Caenorhabditis elegans: one gene and its partner. The protein of the gene in region 2 interacts with the protein of the main gene of each other region in a pairwise test. Each region holds a gene or a part of one and is shown on either strand. Other genes may lie near its edges.

Region 1 (6,447 bases), on a different chromosome or scaffold from region 2:
CTACATTTCCAACTTTTACACGAGTTTTTCAAGTAATTTTTATAAAATGTTCAAAGTACTAATCAATTAGCCCAAAACTAAATTGTCAGCTGTTAAAAAATTTCAACAATTCAACGATTCATAGAAGACATTTCTTTGGAAATTCATGACAACTAGGGAATGTGTGAATGCTTCATCGGAACTCGGTTTATTATTTGCGTAGCACGACAGAAATAATGGTTTTGCGAACAATGAATTTGCTTTTTAAAAAGAGAGAAAAAGAAAAGCAGCAGTGCTTCATTCACACCGATTATGAGACAAAATTCGATTGATCGATGAACAAAAAAGGAATGATAAAAAAGAAACAGTGAAGAGCAGACAATAAAAAGCACAAAAAACCGAATTGCTGGAGAGAATTGAAAACTTTGACACTGAAGTTGTTGCTTTTCGACCTTTGGGACCTCTTCGATGTTGACAGACTTCAATAAATTTTTGCGTAGAGTTGTCTTTTTTTAGGAGGCTGAATATTTTACGAGGTTTTGTTTTGTTTTTAAGTCATAGAATATTCTTTATTGAATTTCAAATGTGAAACTAAAAGGTAGGTAGAAATTCTATATACATAATTCTCATATTTTTTGTGAGAAAAATTACTAACATTTACAGACATAAATTTTGGTGCACCTCTTCTTATAACTTTAGGGGCAGTATATATATTTTTGAAAATATCAAAAAAGTATCTAAAACGAAAAATGTGGGAAATATTTTGGTTAGTTATCAAAAGAATTTATTTACTTTTTTCAAATTGTTATAATCTTACAGTTTTTTTTTGTAGAAAAACAATTTAAAATTTACGAAGTTTTGTTTTAAAAATTCTTACTGTCGAAACTTATTGCAAAATTTTTTTATTTGAATAAAAAAGCATTCAGATATTATTCAACAAAAAATTGTTTTGGGATATGTGTTAGAGCAAAAATCCAAAATATACTTTGTGTGTATGTTCACAGTGGGTTTTTTTAAAGCGAATTATTGTTTCTAAAAAATAAATAAAAACGCACAAAGAATGAACAATTCTTTGCAGTCAACTAAAAACATAGAAAAAAGAATTACTGTTGATCAAATTAAACAATCGAATGAGAACCATTTTGGTTCGTATTGTTATTAATTATAAATGTTAAATGAAAAAGTTTGGCTAACAACCTTATTCAACTTTTCATTTTATGCCAACTATCTGAAGTTTAACCCATTTTCTGATCCTTGTCTCGATAGATGTCACTTTATTGGTCTACTGCATTTCTGAAAATTTAATCCGAGTTGTTGTCTTTTTCACAGACCGCCATTTACATTTTCAGATTTTTTTCAGGAAAAAAAATAACTGTAATCGAAAAAACTGATCCCCGATTAATGATGTCTCTTCATACATTCCGTTGTCTTATCTGCCATTCAATTTGGATTTGCAAAAATTCTCGAATACGTCAGATAAGATGAACATTTGAACAGATTTTTGTTTACTGACGAAAATATCCCGATAACCGTCTGCAAGGTTTTCAGTAAATAGTTCCGTTTTACATCAGATTACTTTTTACAACTTGCTATCATTCATCGATATAACACGAGAAAATCGAAAAACACTTCCTCTTTCTGCCTTGTTCCCCTGCTTTCTTTTCATCTTTTTCCAATTTTCACCCGTCGCTTCTCATCTATCCCTTCTTACTTTTTTATCACTTTTCCAAACGGTTTTTTGCTGTCTCTACCTATCTACTATCATAAATATCATTTACTTCTCTCTTTTTTTGTATTTCGAGGTCAATTTGACAGAGAAACCCCTAATGGCAGAACACACAGGAGTAATAGACAAAGCAGTAGAGGGAGGAGAGAAGCCAAACGGTTCCTGGTTTGAGTTTTTGGCATCTGCGTTACCGTACTACGTGCTATCAGAGTATTACACCTTGGCAAGTATAAAAGGGATGACTCGACAATGGTCAAATCACTTGACTACTCGGTCCTGTCCATTTAGTCATTGTAAGTTTTACTTCAAACCTTTTTTCTTTGAATCTTCTGAAATTTCTCCTTTTTTAGATGTCGTCTGAGGATCCAAAACAAATAGCTTATGAGACTGAGTCTCTCCGCAAGGTTGCATTCTTCGGAATTGCAGTCTCAACCATTGCTACGTTGACCGCTATTGTTGCCGTTCCAATGCTCTACAACTACATGCAACACGTTCAATCTTCCCTTCAATCCGAGGTCGAATTCTGTGCCCACAGATCAAACGGACTCTGGGATGAGTACCAAAGAGTGAGCTAATATTACTATGAAATTGAATCCAAACTTTCCTATTTTCAGTTCGAGGGAGTCAGCGGAGTTGCTGGACGCATCAAGCGTGAATCTTACCACCGCAGAGCCTCTGGACCACACAGAGCTTCCAAGGTCCGCAGACAATCTTACGGAGCTGACGCCGCTGTCGGAGGATTTGGAGGATCCGCCGGAGGATCATGCTGCTCATGCGGAACCGGAGCTGCTGGACCAGCTGGATCCCCAGGACAAGACGGAGCTCCAGGAAACGACGGAGCCCCAGGAGCCCCAGGAAACCCAGGACAAGATGCCTCTGAGGACCAAACCGCTGGACCAGACAGCTTCTGCTTCGACTGCCCAGCTGGACCACCAGGACCATCAGGAGCCCCAGGACAAAAGGGACCTTCAGGAGCCCCAGGAGCCCCAGGACAATCCGGAGGAGCTTCCCTTCCAGGACCACCAGGACCAGCCGGACCACCAGGACCATCTGGACAACCAGGATCCAACGGAAACGCCGGAGCCCCAGGAGCCCCAGGACAAGTCGTCGATGTTCCAGGAACCCCAGGACCAGCTGGACCACCAGGACCACCAGGACCAGCCGGAGCCCCAGGACAGCCAGGACAATCTGGATCCGCTCAACCAGGAGGCCCAGGACCACAAGGAGATGCCGGAGCTCCAGGAGCCCCAGGACAACCAGGACAAGCTGGAGCCCCAGGACAAGACGGAGACAGCGGATCCGAGGGAGCTTGCGATCACTGCCCACCACCACGTACCGCCCCAGGATATTAAATGTATCCGAATTGATTATGACATCATTTCTCTCACTTCCATTATCTTGCTTTATTTCTTCACAAATCCAATTGTGAACACTAGCACCCTGTAGAAATAAAAACTGCATCATCCAATTTTTGTCTTATGTTAACAAAAAACCAACGGCTGAAAAAAGTTACAATAAGGTGTTTCCGTACACACTCGAGAGTCTGTTGTTCTTCGCATTAAGGAGAAACTTTCATTCAAGGTCATCAAGATCCAAGTGGTCTACTTACAGTGTTGCCCTTTTATTGTTTTCGGTAATTGGACAACGGAAACCCCTTCTAAGCAGTAAACAGGAAGTTTAATATTGTTTGACAAGTGATTCGAAGGTTTCGAGAACATAACAAAAAGTTTTTCAAAGGTAAAACATGTAATCGTTTTAACGAGACCGTATTAGCTTTGATTCTTGAGATTCTCGTACATTTGCCTCTATACAATTTACAGGGTTACTGGGAAAAGACTCTAAAATCTTTTGCGTATGTGAAATTTGCCAAGATATCTGATCTGGTGAATCTTCTACACGAACTTCAAATTGTCACCGGATATTTCTAAAGTTTGTGTTTTCATTATATCCGCCATCTCTAGAAAAGAGATAACGAAGGCAAATCTCATATCTTATCAAAATTGCAATTTTCTTCATTTTCTGATATAAACAAGTCTCAACTTTCATTACTTCAATGCAAACTTATCTTAAACGGGAATTTAGACACATCGGCAGCAACATAATTCTAAACGATTCGGTAAAAGAAATGTCCAGTTTTTTCACAAGGATCTTTGTCAGTTGTTGAAGTGGTGACTCTGGATTCTACCGAGAGTAGAGACAAAACAGATTTATTGAACTAAAGTAATATCCTCAAAAAGTTTTGGAATGCTACATTAATTTTAACAGTTTGATTCGCTTTTTTTTTTCTGCAGAAATTTTTTTTTCGTTAAATTTTTCTGCAGCAATAAAAGGAGCAGATCTAATTCTCTGAAAATTGCAGAGAAAATGTATGAGTGGAAATGTTTCTTTTTCTAATGTTTCTCAAATCGAGTAACTATTTCAACAAACCATACTAACCATCGATGCAAACTTGTTTTTTACTCGTATATATTTTCCAGTAATACCCTTTTGATTTGGTATAAACGTTTTAGAATCACATTATTCATAGGTAGAGTTTTTTTTTTCAATGTGTGTTTAAACTATTAATGAAAATGGCACATAATCATTATCAGTTTTTCATATGTAAACTGGATCCTTATAAAAGTTTTGCAGCGTTTTCATGTGGATGAGGGTCGACTCTTCCTGAAGTAGACATTTTAGCATTTCCATTATTTTGAAAATTAAAATTTGTTAGAGCTCCAAAGCAAACATTCTGAACTACTATGTACATTTCCGGCAGATGTTTTCTATTTTTTCCGTTTTTACACTCAATGACGTTTAGTTTACTTTATTTTTTAGTTTTCAAGTATCAATTTATAATCAACACATAAAATGGCATTGACGTCTGGTTAAAAAAACGACCCCGCAATGAACAATCTTCGGCACGAGCTAGTAATAAACCAGGAAATGAAACGATAATGAAGAAAATAGCTAAAGACGAACGACCTTCTAGATTTTCACATCCGTCCCACTCTACACAAGCAAAGGTATTACACCACAATGGGTATAAATACGGACAGCGTACGCTTTAAGACACTTGACTTCCCGGTCCAGTCTATTCAGAAATTGTAAGTTTTAAGCGATTTCTTTAAACACACAAGATCTTAAATTTTAAGATGTCGTCTGAGGATCCAAAACAAATCGCTTATGAGACTGAGTCTCTCCGCAAGGTTGCATTCTTCGGAATCGCAGTCTCGACCATTGCCACTTTGACCGCTATTGTTGCCGTTCCAATGCTTTACAACTACATGCAACACGTTCAATCTTCCCTTCAATCCGAGGTCGAATTCTGTGCCCACAGATCAAACGGACTCTGGGATGAGTACCAAAGAGTGAGTTGATATTACTATGAAATTGAATCCTAACTTTTCTAATTTCAGTTCGAGGGAGTTAGCGGAGTTGCTGGACGCATCAAGCGCGAGTCTTACCACCGCAAAGCCAGAGCCTCCAAGGTCCGCAGACAATCTTACGGAGCTGACGCCGCAGTCGGAGGATTCGGAGGATCCGCCGGAGGATCATGCTGCTCATGCGGAACCGGAGCTGCTGGACCAGCTGGATCCCCAGGACAAGATGGAGCCCCAGGAAACGACGGAGCCCCAGGAGCTCCAGGAAACCCAGGACAAGATGCCTCTGAGGACCAAACCGCTGGACCAGACAGCTTCTGCTTCGACTGCCCAGCTGGACCACCAGGGCCATCAGGAGCCCCAGGACAAAAGGGACCTTCAGGAGCCCCAGGAGTCCCAGGACAAACCGGAGGAGCTTCCCTTCCAGGACCACCAGGACCAGCCGGACCACCAGGACCATCTGGACAACCAGGATCCAACGGAAACGCCGGAGCCCCAGGAGCCCCAGGACAAGTCGTCGATGTTCCAGGCACCCCAGGACCAGCTGGACCACCAGGACCACCAGGACCAGCCGGAGCCCCAGGACAGCCAGGACAATCTGGATCCGGTCAACCAGGAGGTCCAGGACCACAAGGAGATGCCGGAGCTCCAGGAGCCCCAGGACAACCAGGACAAGCTGGAGCCCCAGGACAAGACGGAGACAGCGGATCCGAGGGAGCTTGCGATCACTGCCCACCACCACGTACCGCCCCAGGATATTAAATGTTTTTTTTTTGTTTTTTTTATTTCCAACATCTTGCTTTATCCATTTTTGCAAAGTCATCCTGATAGATTAGAATGAACATGACAATCTGCAATTTGAACATAAAAACAATACAATCGTAACACAAAGTCAACGAAAGTGTAATGAACGTCATTGGATCAAGCGTTCCAAAAAAAATTATGATGCAGATTACACTAAACACGAAACTAAAGTTGTATTATTGACATTTGTTCGTAGAAAAAACGTCAAGACATTCTCATTTTAATCATTATAAAAGGCAATAACGTGCTCAGGCGCGAAAATGTTGATTTCCAGCTGCTTTTTCATCTCTCACGAAATCAACTTTTAGTTAGTTTTCTAATACTTACTGAACTCACTTTTTAATCGATTAATCTTTTGAAATGCTTTCGATTGTTCTTTTGTTTGTTTTTGGAATATTAGCAAATGCTCATCTGCAATCTTCTGATGGAGTTTCACCTCCTAAAAGTTCACCGCTTGAAGAGGTAATTTTTTATTTATTGGAAAATAGGTATAACTAGTAAACTTCAGGTCGATGCAGAGATTCCTCCTGAAGATAAGAATTTTTTGTATTATTTTATTATTGCAACGTTCACAGC
Region 2 (6,916 bases):
AAAAATTGCCAAAGAATTTTCATTATTCCTAATGGATTGGTTCCTTTTTCTATTCTATCATATATTCTAGGTCAGAGATTAATTTCTACGTGCAACTGAATGTGGCGCTTGTTAGCTTTTGTGGTGATTTAAAACTAAAACCTATGTGTATTCTCAACTGACACGGTGGATACTGTCTGACGTAAGAAAAATATTGTATCTAAAAAATTACAGACTATATGAAACAACTCTGGGTGGAAATCATTCTGACTAGATTTCACCCTGTTTCAGATATTTCTGGTCTAGAAATAATGAATTTCAGTAAAATCGAAAAAAGTCTAATGTTGATGATATCTCTGAGAAAAGACATCGATGAATAACAAAAGAGATTTGTCTGTGTGGAGCAAGAAGCCGGCACTGCCGGAACCGCACCACACATGGCCAATATCTGATTTCAGAGGGCAAAAGAGGAGGTTGCAGCATAATTTGGTATTGAATTTCATAATGTTTGACTCGAAAGAGGCTCACAAATTGGAATGTTTTATTGCTGGTTAGCGGGAGCAATTTTGGTGAAAGAAGAAGAATTGGAAGACGAGAAGAAGCAGTTGCAGAAGCTGTCGCAGCAGAAGCACAATCAACCTTCTCTTGCTCTTTTTGTGGTGCTGTTGACTGCGCATCGAGTTCATAAAGACTCATTTCCGGATGGGATATTATTTTGTTCTTATGGGGTTGGAGGAGGGCTCAATGAGTGAGAAAAATAGATGATGATGGTCGTGGTGTGGAAAAAGAGCAAAAAAAATTAAAAAGTGGTGGTATAATTATAACTACAAAATGACACAGAGGTGACAGTGAGAGGAATTTAATTTATTTCTTCTTTTGGAATCTTTTATGAATTTTCTTCACATTTTGAATGTAGAATTGTTTGGTGTGAGGGTGCACTGGGATATCGAATATTACTGGCTCGTTCTGAAAATTTTTAACGATGAAATTGTCAAATTTAATAATCATGGATAGTCTAAATTTGTGTGCTGCTTGAATAAAGTCGTCCCAGAGTCATGCCCAATTTTTCTCAATAAGTCAAAATTCACGAATGATCACCTTTAAATCCAAATTTTCATTACACATGCAGCAGTTAATGAACTTTGTATATCCATCAGTTGTGCATCCGTAGCCCTCATGAATGTGTCCAAAAACGTGATACTTTGGTCGAACCCGCTTGAAAACTGTGTTCAACAACTCGGCACATCCCATTCTCTGTCCATTGTTCATCATATCGCCGTGTCCTGCACAAAATTTGTGTTTTACTATTTGTGGTACTTTGAACTTACCAAGTGGAGGTGTATGAGTTAAAAGCACGTCAACGCCCGCCGGGATCAGGTTCCATTTGTCCAATAGTTGTTGTCCACGAGAGAGATTGAATGCCCAATTGTCTACTTTTGGTTGCCTGCAATTTTTGAAATTGTGCTTTGATACAATGGGTTCAATATGGAACTCATAGAATTATGCTGTGAGAAAGAATATTCAATTCGAACTTATATTTTTTATTGATCTACAAAATATATAATGATAATACTTGTCGAAGGTGACAATTGTTTCAAATTTCGACTTGAATCTACCACAATTTTTTCAGAAAACTTGCAATCCTTACCATGGCGTTCCATAAATTGTGATTCCAAACAGTTCGATTACATTATCCTCCAAATAAATTGCATTTGATAACAAATCCTACAAAAAATTGTATACTTTCATAAATTGAAATCATGCTTACTTTCGCTGAAATTCCACCCTTTGAATCAGAATGAATTGCTGATAACAATGCTTGTTTCAGTGCCATTTCTTTTGGTTCAGACTCTTGTTCTGCAAATTTTGTTGTGGTGATTGATCGTTAATGGTTTATTGGAGTTGAACTTACTCAATTTCAAAAATGTGTCGTCAAATGTGCATTCGTGATTTCCACCTATCACCACTTTGTAAGAGTATTTCAGTTTTCCAAGTAACTTATTAAAATTGTGAACTTCATTTGGAAGACCGCATGATGTGAAGTCTCCAGCCACGAGGAGAACATCTCCAGGTGGGAGTTTTGATATATCAAATTGTTCTCCATGTGTACATCCAATACATACAAATCTCACATGATCTGGTTTTACTGGAGTATCAAGTCTCATCTGACGAACTGGTTTCACTGGTCTTTTTTCTTTCAGCATTTCCCATGCAAGTGTTGGATCTTCTGTGTATTGATGAAGAGATACCTGAAAATAAATGTATTGTTCTGAAGGAGAAGCTTGCGGAGCAATTAATTTCCCATTCATCTTGTTGTTAACGACATTAAACACATGGCTTGTGTGGCTGTTGTCAACCTTTGACCGGATATAACAATACAATTAAAATTTTCAAATTATTATACTGTGAAAATATAGCATTAAAAATAAACATTGCTATACATAGGGTTTAAAACACAAACTGGGCCAAACGGCATGCAAAAAACGTACCGGTCTTTTATGAATTTTAGTCTCTGAATACCAACTTTTTATAGAATCTTGAGATTTTCTGTGTATCCTTAGGAAATACATTGAAGTATTAGTGGTAGAACTAAATAAATCAGGAAATTGAGACTCAAGTTTTTTACTTCTTTTTTTCAATTTCTGTTCGTACTAATAACAAAATGGAAGCAATTTTTTGACAAATGTTGGCCCCCCATGTAATTTGTTGTTAACAAGCTTGAACTGACAACAGCTGGCGACTAAAGACTCTTTGAACTTACAGTTCTTAACTCTCGAACAAGTGATTCTCGTCGATTTGGAGATGTTCCACTTATAGGTCCACCAATCAGAGAAAGACGTCTCTGTCGGTTACGGTATTCATCTTTAATAGACTGATCCCCAAATATAGAAGTTGTTCCGAACCGATTGCTCGACTTGGAGAACATTTTCAGGCTGTGTGAACAATTGATAAGAAAGAAACAAATGAAGAAATAGAGCCGAAAAGATTGAATGGAGAAGTAAGATTCAAAAGATTTATGGCGAGTATCTGAAGTGTGTCAAAAACATTGACTGCACTCAAATGGTTTTCGATCTAACGATGAGGTCACGAGGTGACAGGAAATGGGATGGGAGGCCAAAAGTTGCAAACGAGACATCCGATATATGTATGTGCTGGTCACTTTTTGTTCCTTATCTTTTTGAAGGATACATCAAACTAAATGCAGAAGGATATTCAGTTACCCGTTCTTTTTCTGTTAATAGTTAGTTCTCTTTTCTTATTTTTTAAATATATGTATACTTGGGAAAGCAGTGGTTTTCGGCTGAAACTAGATTGGAAAGATTGGACGAATATGAAACTAACTGCCGGTCGCCTGGACAAGTTACCATAATACGAATGCTCTGCGAGTTTTTGAAATGTTTCAAAATACTGAAGGTTTGAGAGAAAGTCTGAAAGAATGGGAGCCGCGTTTTCTCATAATTTTTCACATTCAGAAAACTGTGAATAACCTCGAGCAACAATGGAAATCGAGCAAAATGTTTTCTTCAAAGGAAGAAAAATAAAAAATTACTGAGAAAATTTCGTAGTCAAAAAAATCCCCGAAAAGCAACTAAAAATTACGAAAAAAAAAGGTCGGTAACTCGGTAAAAATGAAACTGATAGGCTGGCACATCTCAGGGAAAGGTGAGAAAATGTTCGTCAGTGGATCATCTGATGAATAGTGAATCAAAGACGACCATCATCGGCTCTCAGATATCTTTTCTTTCTTTTTTTCGTTTAAATCAAAAAAGTAGAGACTCCAACGTCAGTTGGTATGCCGACTCAATATGAGATAGATTGTTTCTTCTTTTCATCAGATTGGTATCATGCTCGAACGCATTTATCATTTTATCTTTCATTTTGTTTTTCCAATTGTTGATGGGAGCTAACAACATAGAAAACCTACCGGATTTGACAGCTTCCGTCGGGTTTTTTTGTCCATTGGAATGCCAGATGCAATTGAACCGCGGCGACTTGGCGAAGCATTTCCGAGTTCAAAACTGTCGACGATTATTGAGCCGGAACTTCTTCCTGATAAAGATAGTTATGACAACTTAGAAATAGACGGAAGTATTCTTTTTTTTCTGAGAATCAATCTGAATTGTTCTCTGGTTTTTTTTATAAAGTTAATAACTTATTTTAAAAGAAGAACATTGAAGCTGCCATCGTGGTATTCACACGTTATTCAACCTTTACTACACATTTTGCTGTTTATTCTCATTTTTTACGAGAATCGGGAGAGAGGCAAAAAGAAATTATGAACTCACTTCTATCTCTGTTGAATCCAATCAATTCCTGATCTTCTATCATCGGCTGCAAATATGATGCAGCCCGGTTTCGCGAATGGAACATCATTTTCTGAAATAAATATATTATGTTAAAATATGAATGTTTTGAAGTGGAAGTATCATATAAATAGAGCAAATTATTATTTGTAGCTTCGAGGTTCGAGGACTACTACCAAAAATGTTAAGGAACTGAGACATAAATCTTTTACAAATACAGTTTTTAAACGGAATGGTGATACACTTTATCTATCAACTTCTGTTTGAGAATATAGCTCCATAAAATCAGGTTGTAGTGAAGAAAAAATCAGGACAAGTGACCAAAGCACGGGAATGGTTCTCAAAGGTACCCGCCAATGAAACCTTCCATCTTCTTCTTCCCTCCAGCATTTCCATCTTATCCATCTTAACCCCCTCCCCTTCTTCCTCTTTTTTCCATTTGATCAGAGTTCTATCCTTCTTCAATACCAATTGGCTCACCTCATCTTGTGGTACAGGAGCGGAGCTTCTGAAAACACAAAGATTGAAACATAAAACAAACAATGAGTGCAGCTACAAAAAATCATTGACGAACCTTCGATTGAGTGACACTTTGAGCAATGCAGGACTCAGCATTCCTGCAAAAATCTCGATGATTTTTTGGGTCGACAAGCAAGAAGAAACGACAACTTTTTGAGAAGTGACAAAGTGAAGTGAAGGATGACACGAAAGTTCGGGAATGTTCGGAATGAGATAAGATGTGTCTGGATCATGGAATTAGGTACTTAAACACGGACAAAGCAATTCAGCATTGAGTGCAGAATTTTCTTGAGCAAATGAGTAGTTTAATGAGATCAACTCTCATTTAAAGATGTGATTAAAAAGATCAAGGGTTTTTGTTGCAAAGAAGTGAGACATAGGATTCGTGACGTAGTTGAATATAGCTGTTGGCAATGACATAATTGGTAAAGTTTATACTAACAGAGCAAATAACATTTATCAAGATATTTAAAATACAGTAGACCGTGTTTTCTCAATAGAAACGCCACTCATACCTTGCACAAGTTTGGACCAGCTCTTGCTAATGTCGTATTGTTTTTCAAATCTTTATTGCGGTACAATGTATCTCGAGAGACGGCAAGGGTTGAGTGCCACCAGGTCACAAGCTGATAAGTGTGCAACTGAGAAAAAGTACAACATATGCCAAACGTATCACATAAATCACATAGAAATTATCTACTCACATGTTCTATTATGAGAAAATTAATGCAGTGGAATAGGAAAATATAAGTAAACTCTAAACTGTAGAAATAAAGTTTCTGAACACTTGGAAAAGGTTAAAAATTGGAGCCTAGTTTTTATTGAGATTTCATCCAAACTGTAGCGATTCAGAATATATTTTTGTATTGCCCTAGTATAAGTAAAGACTAATTACAAAAACTACTATAAGTATTTACAAATAGATACTGTTACGAAGGTCCAGTAGCCAATAATCTACCTCTAAACTCATTCAGAAGTTCTAATTGTTTTATTTTTAGTCATTCAATTGATCTTTCCATCATTATCTTATTAACTATTTCCATTTCTATTTCAAGTTATATGTAGTGATATGCGAATTATAAGTGAACAAATTCAAGCTAAAATTCTGAAAAAATATAATGCGAAACTAACGTAATACTAGTATCATAGAAATAAGAAAGCAAAGCTGAAAACATTGCAAAGAGTAAAGTGACTGGTTCTTCTTCTGCTTCTGTTTTTTGAACAGCTCATCAGGTGTTGATTTACTCACCACCAGTAGCAACCACTTTGTGCACACAATGGCTCCACCTTCATACCTTCCTCCCCCACCTCATCGTTCTCAGTCTCACCACAAAGACTTGTCATAACTCATCAATAAACTTTTTTAACACCCCACAACGGGTCACAATAAGGGATCAAAGTTGAGCCGAAGAGTCGACTGAAAGAGAAGAGTCTGGTGGAAAGAGATAATAATGATGAGTGGTGCACAAAAAACAGGGAAGATCTGATGAAGAAGGTCGATGTATTACGAGTGATGGATTAGGATTTGATGAGGGCGGATCGAGTTGTACTCTCAATTAATTTGTCGACATCAATCAATTTGAAATCTTGAACTTGATTGAATTGGTGGAGCTGGGAGATATTATTGAAGGGTACTTATGGTAAAAATTCAAAGATCCTTGACTAGTTTGTAGGTCACAAGATGCAATAGTACACAGGAACCGAGTTGTTTGGATGTGTTCTTGACAAAACTAGTGAACTTTATATTTAGGATTTAATGAAATAATATATTTAAAGTGCGTCAAAGCCAGAAATATTTGGAAAGCTGGTAAAGCTGAGCCAATTATGAATTTCAGATAAAAGGGATAGCATTTAGGGGAAACTTCATGAAAGCTGTTAAAACAATTTGGTTAGTTTTTAGAAGGAAGTAGATTGCGCACGTTTCTCAGGGGCAAAAATTGTCAGAAAGTTGCACCCAAATGCCAAAACTGTATGCCTTCCACGAAAAAGGCATCCGGTGCAATGTGGCTCCGCTCAAATAAATCTTCTCTACGACAAATAAGTCTTCGGTTATTATAAAGGCGAGGTACACTTTGTAGGCACGTAAGCAGACAGCAATTTTGGTCATTACTAGT

Evidence for each region. Proteins that work in one complex are often made in the same cells at the same time.
Region 1: the proteins of T07D4.2 (region 2) and col-159 interact in a two-hybrid assay, tested with the Caenorhabditis elegans proteins (one large-scale study listed by BioGRID).

What each region holds. Positions count from the first base shown.
Region 1 is NC_003283.11:13,197,708-13,204,154, reverse strand, and holds col-159 (Nematode cuticle collagen N-terminal domain-containing protein), read left to right. Parts: upstream 1-1,977; 5' UTR 1,978-1,998; intron 1,999-2,055; coding exon of another isoform or gene 2,056-2,271; intron 2,272-2,319; coding exon of another isoform or gene 2,320-3,057; exon of another isoform or gene 3,058-3,171; intron 3,172-4,608; exon of another isoform or gene 4,609-4,757; intron 4,758-4,839; coding exon 4,840-5,055; intron 5,056-5,103; coding exon 5,104-5,829; 3' UTR 5,830-5,924; downstream 5,925-6,447. Other genes in the region: col-160 (Nematode cuticle collagen N-terminal domain-containing protein), read left to right, coding at 2,056-2,271, 2,320-3,057; F57B1.9 (G-protein coupled receptors family 1 profile domain-containing protein), read left to right, coding at 6,232-6,333, 6,380-6,447.
Region 2 is NC_003280.10:8,869,043-8,875,958, forward strand, and holds T07D4.2 (UPF0046 protein T07D4.2), read right to left. Parts: upstream 4,901-6,916; 5' UTR 4,899-4,900; coding exon 4,858-4,898; intron 4,792-4,857; coding exon 4,764-4,791; intron 4,357-4,763; coding exon 4,266-4,356; intron 4,030-4,265; coding exon 3,905-4,029; intron 2,913-3,904; exon of another isoform or gene 2,906-2,912; coding exon of another isoform or gene 2,741-2,905; intron 2,229-2,740; coding exon 1,892-2,228; intron 1,837-1,891; coding exon 1,748-1,836; intron 1,705-1,747; coding exon 1,628-1,704; intron 1,424-1,627; coding exon 1,308-1,423; intron 1,263-1,307; coding exon 1,078-1,262; intron 946-1,077; coding exon 844-945; 3' UTR 507-843; downstream 1-506.